Caenorhabditis elegans: one gene and its partner. The protein of the gene in region 1 interacts with the protein of each later gene in a pairwise test. Each region holds a gene or a part of one and is shown in the gene's direction. Other genes may lie near its edges. The genes, in order: tag-196 and pmk-1.

Region 1 (5,053 bases):
AATTCAGTTTCTATTCTTCTCACACATCTATCTATACATCTAGCCAGCAAATGCCAGAGAAATTCTTCCTTATTTTTTGGTTGCTGGAAGAAAGTTGTTGGGAGCATAAAGAAATAAAATGAGTGTTTACGTTCGATTCACCTCTCTTTTTCTTGTTGTTTTTCCATTTCTCCTTCATTTTCACGACAAATCACCCTCAATCTCATTTTCTATCATATCACATGAGAATATGAAATACTTGGTGTCCGAAAACTGGAAAATGTAGTTAACACATAGCGCCTCGGAGCTACAAATCATGAGGAATTTGTTGTGTGGTGTTTAATTTAAAACATTGATTTTTTGTTTTCTTTATATTCTTGTTTTTCTTTATGTCGATATTTTCAACATATTTTCTGATCGTTGGCGTATGATTCATCTGAAATTAATTTTTTTAAATTTTTTCCAATAAAAAGTTATCGAAATTTCTCGACCTTCTGAAATTCACAATTATAAGCGTAACAATTATTCACATTAGTCAGAAAATACTACAACTCTTTGTGATCTATTCAGAGTTTTTTCATTCTGTTTTTTCTGATAAAATTTTAATTTTATTCCATATTTTGTAAAATTTTGAATGGACTTCAGATATTTTAGAGAAACTAGGATGCAAACTAAAATTGAATTCAAAATCAAAACGTTCACGACAAGCGATTTTTGTTGCAAAAGTACGATACAGAATAATTTTCTTATTTTCACATTATGAAACCATTTCTGATCAATATAATCGTATGAATAAAAGTGAGTTTCTAAATTTTGGAAACAAATATTTAAACCCCATAAAAATCGTCTGCAAACCCATCAATGTCCTCTATTATCTTGAAATAGATAAAACATTCTTATATAAAAAGGATGTGAGAACGTGGGCTAGGAAATGGAGCGCTGGAATGTAGTTTCTTGAACGAATTTCCATCTGTAGGTCAAATGCCTAAAATGCTTTTTAAACTCTCACCGGTGAGGTTCATATAAATGCACAAATTCCTAGATTCAAAGTTGGCAAAACTATATATTCCACTCTACAATATTGTAGTTAGAAAATTGTCTTCCATTCTCATTCTCACTTTCTTCCCGACTTTCTCGATACTTCGGTTTAGTGCACTTTCCTAATAGAATTAGAGTGTCCGCGTACTTCTCCTTCCCCGCTCGAATCGAAATTTCAAACCACTACAACTAGAGCCAACAACAAATTGATGTGTCTCCCACCCTACTCAGAAATTCAATTGAGCCGCCCGGTCGCCGCCCTTTTGCACGTCGTCTTGTGCCCTTCTCGTCTTCCAAAAAACTCCTTCAGAAAAGGTGTAACCCTACCCTCCCGATGGCCTGCGTCTCTTTTCCCTTTTGACTCATCATGTTTTTGCCGGTTTTTTCTTGTGCCTGTTAACTGCTGCTGCGTCTCTATTTATCTCTTTTATTCTTAATGCCGGGTCATACGGTCACTCGCAACCCCTTGGGAGACACCACAACTGGGCAGCTGTTCGGTGGTACCATATGACCCACAACTGGCCTCATTCCCATCATCAACCCCCAACCACATCTATCTTTTATCAAATGACACCTTAGAACACCAGCTCTTGGATCTTCTTGATTTTTTAATTATCAAAAAAACATAAAATTCGTGTTAAAATTGCTCAGGTGGCTCAAAATCTTGGTTTGAAGCATTTACTATTTTTTTTTATTATTGTATCAATCTCACTGTATCTTGTCAACTTCTTCCTACTAAACTTCTTTCTGATTTTCTCTGTCTTATCACATGATCTTATTTTCAGCCAAAATGGGTAAACCTATAGTTTGCCTAATTTTGTTACTTGCATCTCTCCACACAGTTGTCTCAAAAGTGTTGCCGATAAATGAAGAAGACCAACTTCTGTACGAGGTAATCTATTTCAATCATTTTATATTCCTTATCAAACCAGTTGTCATCCTATCCATCCATCACCTTGTCAAATTATTTTTGTTGTAGAAATTCGCGCGACATGGTGTTGAAAAATTCAATCAGCAATCGAATGATGCCTACAAATGGGAACTCGATAGAACATGGGAGGTTGAAAGAAAACTGTCCGGTGGAATACATTATTCAATTTTTGTCACATTGGTCAAAACCGATTGTAAGAAGGGTCAGACGGACGTTGAGGGGAAGAAGTGTCGGAAGACGGATACACTCAAGGTGAGAAAACAAAAACCAAAAATAGTTGATCAAAAAATGAATAGGAAGAGGAAATATAATTTTAGAATTCTTTGAATACATTCAAGATTTTTTTGACTGGACACTCGATGGGGCTCCATCACACCTAACCCGGGTGGAATGTTTACTTGAAAAAAGTATTATGCGTTTATAAAGTTTACAAATCTTTTCTGAAACTAGTCACATTTTGTGCTAAGTGGACCCCAACGACCTATTCTAAAAGTCTTGTATAGTTTCCGATTATCCCGTGTAAAAAACAGAACAATCAGATTTATAGTTTTTAACAAATCTAAAAAGTTTCAAAATTAAATGAAATACGAATTGAAACAGTTTAAAGTAAAATAATTGTCTTACAAGACAAAATATTATTTTTATGATTTTATTGATTTTAATGATTTATGTCTTAATTGCAGAAGTGTCAAGTTGAAATCAGTCGCCGTGTAAAAAGACATGGTTATGGTCTGAAAGACATCGTGCACATCAGAAATTGTGAGGAAGAGTTTACAAGGAACATTGATAAGTTCGAGTAAGTAAAGACGATAAAAATTTTTCCGATAAAAATAATCACACTATAACAAAAAATGTTTCATAATACTTGTGGTCTTTGGGATATTTTTTATTTTTATATTTTTACTGACAAGATTAACTAGTAAGTGAAACTTGTTATGTCTTATGTTTTAACATAGAAATTTGTTAATATTTTCAGTCACCGCAAAATCCAACTGACTCACGACGACTCCATCACTGTTCAGGAACTCCGAAAGGCAAAGATCATCCGTCCAAGAGACTATGTCATTTGGAATTCTTTTCTTGATTTTGTTGATAGGTATTGTTTGTTTCGTTATTTTCTCAATTTACCTAATTATTTCCAGACACGAGAAGAAGTACACTAACAAAAGAGAAGTTCTAAAAAGATTCCGAGTTTTCAAGAAAAACGCAAAAGTTATCAGAGAACTTCAGAAAAATGAGCAAGGAACCGCTGTCTATGGATTCACAAAGTTTTCTGACATGACAACAATGGAATTCAAGAAAATAATGCTTCCATATCAATGGGAACAACCAGTATATCCAATGGAACAAGCCAATTTCGAGAAACATGATGTCACAATTAATGAAGAAGATCTTCCAGAATCATTTGATTGGAGAGAAAAAGGAGCAGTTACTCAAGTAAAGAATCAAGGAAACTGTGGAAGTTGTTGGGCATTCTCAACGACAGGAAATGTGGAAGGAGCATGGTTCATTGCCAAGAACAAGCTTGTATCACTTTCAGAACAAGAACTTGTGGATTGTGATAGTATGGATCAGGGATGTAATGGAGGATTGCCAAGTAATGCATACAAGTATGTTTCAATTTCTCCGTTTTCTTTTGGGAAAAACTGAATACTGAAATAATTAATGCGACATGTGTCTCATATTTTCAGAATTGGAAAGTTTGTCGTATCAGATAATTACTGTTTTTTAGTTTTTTATCATAAAACCACAAAGTACTTCTAGTTTAAAAAGTTAATTCTGATTGTTCCTGAAAAATGCTTTTTTGTTTTCAGAGAGATCATCCGTATGGGTGGCTTGGAGCCAGAAGATGCATATCCATATGATGGAAGAGGTGAAACATGTCATTTGGTGAGAAAGGACATTGCTGTGTATATCAACGGATCAGTTGAGCTGCCACACGATGAAGTTGAAATGCAAAAGTGGCTTGTCACCAAGGGACCAATTTCTATCGGTAAGTCAATTGCCAAATTCGATATTAAATTCAAAATTGCTCGATTTCAGGTCTCAACGCAAACACTCTCCAATTCTACCGTCACGGTGTTGTCCATCCATTCAAAATCTTCTGCGAGCCATTTATGCTTAACCATGGTGTTTTGATTGTTGGATACGGAAAAGATGGTCGCAAGCCATATTGGATTGTCAAGAACTCTTGGGGACCAAATTGGGGAGAAGCCGGATACTTCAAATTGTACAGAGGAAAGAATGTGTGTGGAGTGCAGGAAATGGCCACGTCTGCACTTGTTAACTGATTAAATAATCATATTCGAAATTGTCTTGTTTGTCAAACGTGTGTTCTTTTCATGTACTTAATTGTTTAATTTTCCGATTTGTTTTCAAATTGTCTTTAATAAAGTTTGTATGTACTTAGTTTCAAAGTAGCTTTAATTGAGCAATCATTAAAATCCACGTAAAACATTTCATTTAGAAAGCAGCAATACAGTAGATAAAAGTCCCAGTAAAAAATTCTTAATACTTCACCAAATTATACAAAAAGTCGTAATTCACGGGGGATTTCGAGTAAAAACAGAAAACACTTGAGTAAGATCAACACGAAAAAATGAGAGATGATATAGTTTTGAGAACAAATAGTAATGATAAAGAGGGTAAATTTTCGGATATTTGCACGTGTTCTGAGCAAATCTGTCATGATTTTGTTCTCTGACGTGAGAGAATTGGGTGAATAGAAGTGACTGAAGAAGTTTGATAAAAATGTAAAAGAAATATACAGAAAATTTTTGACACTTTGAAATTAAAATATTTTTGTATCTAACGATTGAAGCATTCTGGATACATCGGATCTTCGAACAATTGCTCGTTTTCCAGGTCTCTTTTTTAATTGAAGCGGACTACGATAGAAAGATGATTGGAAGCATCTATAATGATACAAATTTAAGTGCACGAAAAAACTCCACATACTGATTTGGAAGCTCATCGGGAAATAGTTCATGGGCAGGTTTAACGAGGAAATCCACAGCAGCTTGCTGAAATTCCACCGCCGCCCATTGCATTAATCGAGCAATCCCACAGAGAATAACGACAATGAATGATTCTGAAAATATACAT
Region 2 (4,802 bases), on another chromosome or scaffold:
TTTGATCTTTTTCTCCTAATACTCTTTTACATTCAAATATTTTCCTATTCTTGCAGTATATCCATTCGGCAGGGATTATCCATCGCGATTTAAAACCATCGAATATTGCTGTCAATGAGAGATGCGAAGTCAAGGTTTTTCTTAGTTTTTCTCAACTTTCTTTCCTAATTCTTTCATTTTTCAAGATTCTCGATTTTGGATTGGCTCGTGCTCAAGACGCCGAAATGACTGGATACGTGGCAACAAGATGGTACAGAGCTCCAGAGATTATGCTCAATTGGATGCATTATACACAGACTGGTGAGTAAATAAAAGAAATTGGTTTCTATGCACTTAAATAGTCACCTAAAATCTTTGAACTAAATTGTTAAATATCATATGATTTGAGGTTAACTTCTGACATTTTGAAAGCATGTTTCACCTGTTTCTTGTAGTTATGCTAAAACGTGTGAAAATATGAAGAATAAACTTTGACTTGATATTGGTATTTCTGGTTTCTGCAATTCTCTCTCTATTCCAACTTCCTATTTTTTCAAATAAACGAAAAACTTGATATATTTATCACATGAAACAAAAACATCATTTTTTTTTACTTCTAAAAATGTTACCAAAATATTGAATTTTTCAGTTGATGTTTGGTCAGTTGGATGTATTCTTGCGGAACTGGTATCCGGGAGACCATTGTTTCCAGGCGATGATCGTGAGTTTTATTCTATTCCTCTAATACTTTAAATATTTAAAATTTGCAGATATTGATCAGCTAACAAAGATAATGTCAGTTGTGGGTACCCCAAAAGAAGAATTCTGGTCCAAAATTCAATCAGAAGAAGCTCGAAATTATATTAAGTTAGTGTTGCAAATACTTCTGAAATTCAATTACTAGACTAGAACTGAAAAAAAAAATAAATCGTTTACGCAAAAATCTTTCAGAAATCGTTCTCCAATTATCCGTCAGGACTTCGTTACATTGTTTCCAATGGCTTCTCCATATGCTCTCGAACTTCTCGAAATGATGCTAATTTTGGATCCGGACAGAAGAATTTCTGTATCAAGTGCTCTTCGTCATGACTATCTTCGTGAATACTCTGTGCCAAATGATGAACCAGTTGCAATGGATACGGTAATAAATAGCATAGTACGAAATTTAAGTTCGCTTCTCTAAAAGTACTCCAATTTTCTTGTTAGGTCACAATTGATCCAGCTGAAGAACGAGCAACAACGTTATCCGACTGGCGAGAGTTAATTTGGAATGAGATTCGATTATTCCAAAACTCGGCACGAAGACTAAGTTTTGTAAGCTGTACGGATACGGAAGAAGAGCCAATGAAAATATGAAGTCAAATGTGTTCAAGTGCTAAAATATCTCAAAACTGTGGAATTTTCTTTTTTCTATATTGTATCTCCCTAAACTATTTATTTCACTAAAAATCAAATTTGTGTCCCTAATTCCTTGATCTCTAATTATCCAACAATCGATCTCAGATGTTCTTTTCCACAAAATCTCAATTTTTTCCTTTGAAACCATAGACTTGTGATTTACCTTAACTTTCTCGTTAATCCTATAAGTTGCCATGACCTCAGAGCCTCTTTTAATTTATTATTCATTTAGATTCATTTATCAAATTGAAGTGTATAAAGAATTAATGTAAATATTCAATTTTCTAAATACTCTTAAACATTTAATCGGTTCAAATTGCCGCTTAATTTTTATATTTACATTTATATTGGTTTTACGTACACAAAAAAATCATATTTTTTTCAAAATAATTACTTCAAATCTTACAAACATGATTCCAGGTAACGGAGCCAATGTTTCCACAGACAACAATGGATCATATACTTCATCCGACTCCACGAGAAGGATACTATGTCGTTGAGCTTAATCGAAGTGTCTGGGTTGTTCCAAATTATTATATTAACTTGACTCCAATTGGTACCGGAGCATATGGAACTGTTTGGTATGTCATTTCAACTGATTTTTACTTTATTTTTCGATTTTTAGTGCTGCTGAATGTACTCGCTCGGGGACTCGCGTCGCAATCAAAAAATTCAATCGTCCATTTCAATCAATAATTCATGCCCGTCGTACATATCGTGAACTCCGACTTCTTCGTTGTATGTGTCATGAAAATATAATTGATCTACTTGATGTCTTCACTCCAAATGAGAATGTAAATGATATCGAGGATGTGTATTTTGTATCAATGTTGATGGGAGCTGATCTATCAAATATTCTCAAAATTCAGCGACTCAACGATGACCACATTCAATTCTTAGTCTATCAAATTCTTCGTGGACTCAAATACATTCATTCTGCAGATATTATTCATCGAGATCTTAAACCATCAAATATTGCTGTTAATGAGGATTGTGAATTGAAAATTCTTGATTTTGGATTGGCACGTCAAACTGATTCTGAAATGACTGGATACGTGGCAACAAGATGGTACAGAGCTCCAGAGATTATGCTCAATTGGATGCATTACACGCAGACTGTTGATGTATGGTCAGTTGGGTGTATTCTTGCAGAACTTATCACTGGAAAAACATTGTTCCCTGGATCTGATCGTAAGACTTTTTTTCTACAATATTCCAAATATCTTCAATTTCCAAGCAAAAAACCAGAGTAAATATTTATGGTTGTTAACTTTATTGTACACTGGCGTTTCATAACATAGAAAAAAAATCATTTTGCTAAGTTATTCGTACCGTAGCAGGCGGAAAAAATTTATAATTAATTATTACCTCTTATTGCAAATTTTGGTAGTTTATCTCCAGTTGATTTGAGGATTTAGGCGCATTTGTAGTCGCGGTGTTAACTACCAAAATATGGACTAAGATAATTCAATAAAAACAAACAAAACAACAAAAAACAAAACACAAACGTTATTTTCTTTTGAAAATGTAGACTTTTCATTTAAAACTACTGTTTCAGACATCGATCAATTGACTCGTATCATGTCAGTAACTGGAACACCAGATGAAGAATTCCTTAAAAAGATCTCATCAGAAGAAGCTCGTAATTACATTCGAAATCTTCCAAAAATGACTCGCCGTGATTTCAAACGTCTGTTTGCTCAAGCAACTCCTCAAGCAATCGATCTCCTTGAAAAGATGCTTCACCTTGATCCAGATCGTCGTCCAACTGCAAAAGAAGCTATGGAGCATGAATATCTGGCTGCTTATCACGATGAAACTGATGAGCCAATTGCAGAAGAAATGGATTTGAATGATGATGTAAGGGCAGATACAATTGATGAATGGAAGAAAATTATTTGGGAAGAGATCAGTGATTTCCAGGTAATATATATTTACACTTGTTTTTGAACCAACTAATTATGCATAAAATCAAACGAAGGACACCCCCAGTGGGTTCATTTTGTGATCAAAATTCATTTCCGACTGTCAAAAACGTATCAATTTAAGCGGTTATTATTTAATTCGAATACTTTTGAAATTCTATAAATAACCTATACTACTCTAACGTTGAGTTACACCTAACCCAAACCTTTACACTTTGTTATGAAATTGATATGAATGATAAGGATGATTCAGTGCGGGGGGTTAAGTAGAAACGAGACATGAGTCATATTCAATTTCTTGGAAGCCAAATTATCAATGAAAAAAAAGTTGACTCAGGAAACTCAGAAAAAACGGAAATTATTCACTGAAATAATGAGATCATTTTCAGAAAAACGTGGCATTTGCTGACGAAGAGGAAGATGAGGAGAAAATGGAATCGTAGCATTGCTTTCTTTTTTGTATATCAGTTTTTCAATTTAATTCTTCAAATTTTTCAAAAAAAAAAAAGCCAACTGAGACATCTTACAATCCCAAGGCAGTTTCTTGCTCTGAAAAGGTTAATCTCACTTTCACAATGTGCTATCCCCCCACAAAAATAAAATCTTCCAAAACAAAACAAGGTAGCTCTAACTGATTCGCTTATAATTTTATTCTGTTTTCAAATTTGTTTTAAAAAACCAATTAGTATTTTTGTTTCAATTAAAATTTCTTAAATCAAATTCTCCAGATGTTTTGATCTATTAGGTGCTCGTTTCACCCCGCCCCTTGTTTTTTATGAAGCCTGTATAAGTGACCTTGGAAATACACAACCATCAAGCTTTTTAACTTTCATTATGGATTTCGAGAAATTTCAAAATCTTGATAGTTGAGTTTTTAAATTTCTAAAGTCATATTTTCCCCCTTTTCATTGCACTCTATGTTTATTTCGTTTTGTTCTCCAATGAACTTGATAAAATCATAAAAATTATCTTTTAATCTTTATTTTTAAGAATTTCTTTGTCAGTATCATATTATTACAAGTGCCACTTTAAGTGTTGAAAGTCAGTTGATACTGCCAAAATATACTGTATCCAACAAATAGTGTAACAAAATAGAATACCTTAGTTAAATGAATTCGCTCATCAAGCTAAACTTCTCGCTATCCGAGAAGATCAAAGCGAAAAACTGAGGTTCTCTTCAAAAAGTGTTTTATAGGATATAGCATTATTGCTTTTTTGGGTCCTTTGATATTTTAAAGAAACCTACACACGTTCACGAGTTTTTTGACAGAAAGTTACAGTTCTAAAAAGAAAGCAGTAGATAACACGCACGATGGAATAATTTTGCGGTGATTTCTTAGAACAAACGATGAGTAGATCAGTGAGCTGAATAATTTTCATTTGTAAAAAGGTTTTCACATTTTGCACTGGCTTTTCTTATAAAAATCATACTTAATTGGGCAAAACATTCTACATTCTTTCCATTTTTATTTTTGTTTCGTCTTAACATTCACATACAGA

Evidence for each region.
Region 2: the proteins of tag-196 (region 1) and pmk-1 interact in a two-hybrid assay, tested with the Caenorhabditis elegans proteins (one large-scale study listed by BioGRID).

The regions. Positions count from the first base shown.
Region 1 is NC_003283.11:8,593,112-8,598,164, forward strand, and holds tag-196 (Cathepsin F), read left to right. Parts: upstream 1-1,802; 5' UTR 1,803-1,807; coding exon 1,808-1,909; intron 1,910-1,996; coding exon 1,997-2,200; intron 2,201-2,631; coding exon 2,632-2,744; intron 2,745-2,924; coding exon 2,925-3,044; intron 3,045-3,090; coding exon 3,091-3,558; intron 3,559-3,762; coding exon 3,763-3,941; intron 3,942-3,991; coding exon 3,992-4,239; 3' UTR 4,240-4,358; downstream 4,359-5,053. Other genes in the region: F41E6.7 (uncharacterized protein), read right to left, coding at 4,740-4,863, 4,907-5,039.
Region 2 is NC_003282.8:8,146,997-8,151,798, forward strand, and holds pmk-1 (Mitogen-activated protein kinase pmk-1), read left to right. Parts: upstream 1-1,797; 5' UTR 1,798-1,809; coding exon 1,810-1,958; intron 1,959-2,002; coding exon 2,003-2,568; intron 2,569-2,935; coding exon 2,936-3,300; intron 3,301-3,691; coding exon 3,692-3,745; 3' UTR 3,746-4,270; downstream 4,271-4,802. Other genes in the region: Mitogen-activated protein kinase pmk-2, read left to right, coding at 57-134, 186-300, 629-700, 750-846, 931-1,135, 1,186-1,335. UniProt on the Caenorhabditis elegans protein: Serine/threonine kinase which responds to activation by environmental stress and pro-inflammatory cytokines by phosphorylating downstream targets. As part of a MAP kinase signaling pathway, plays a role in modulation of lifespan and immunity.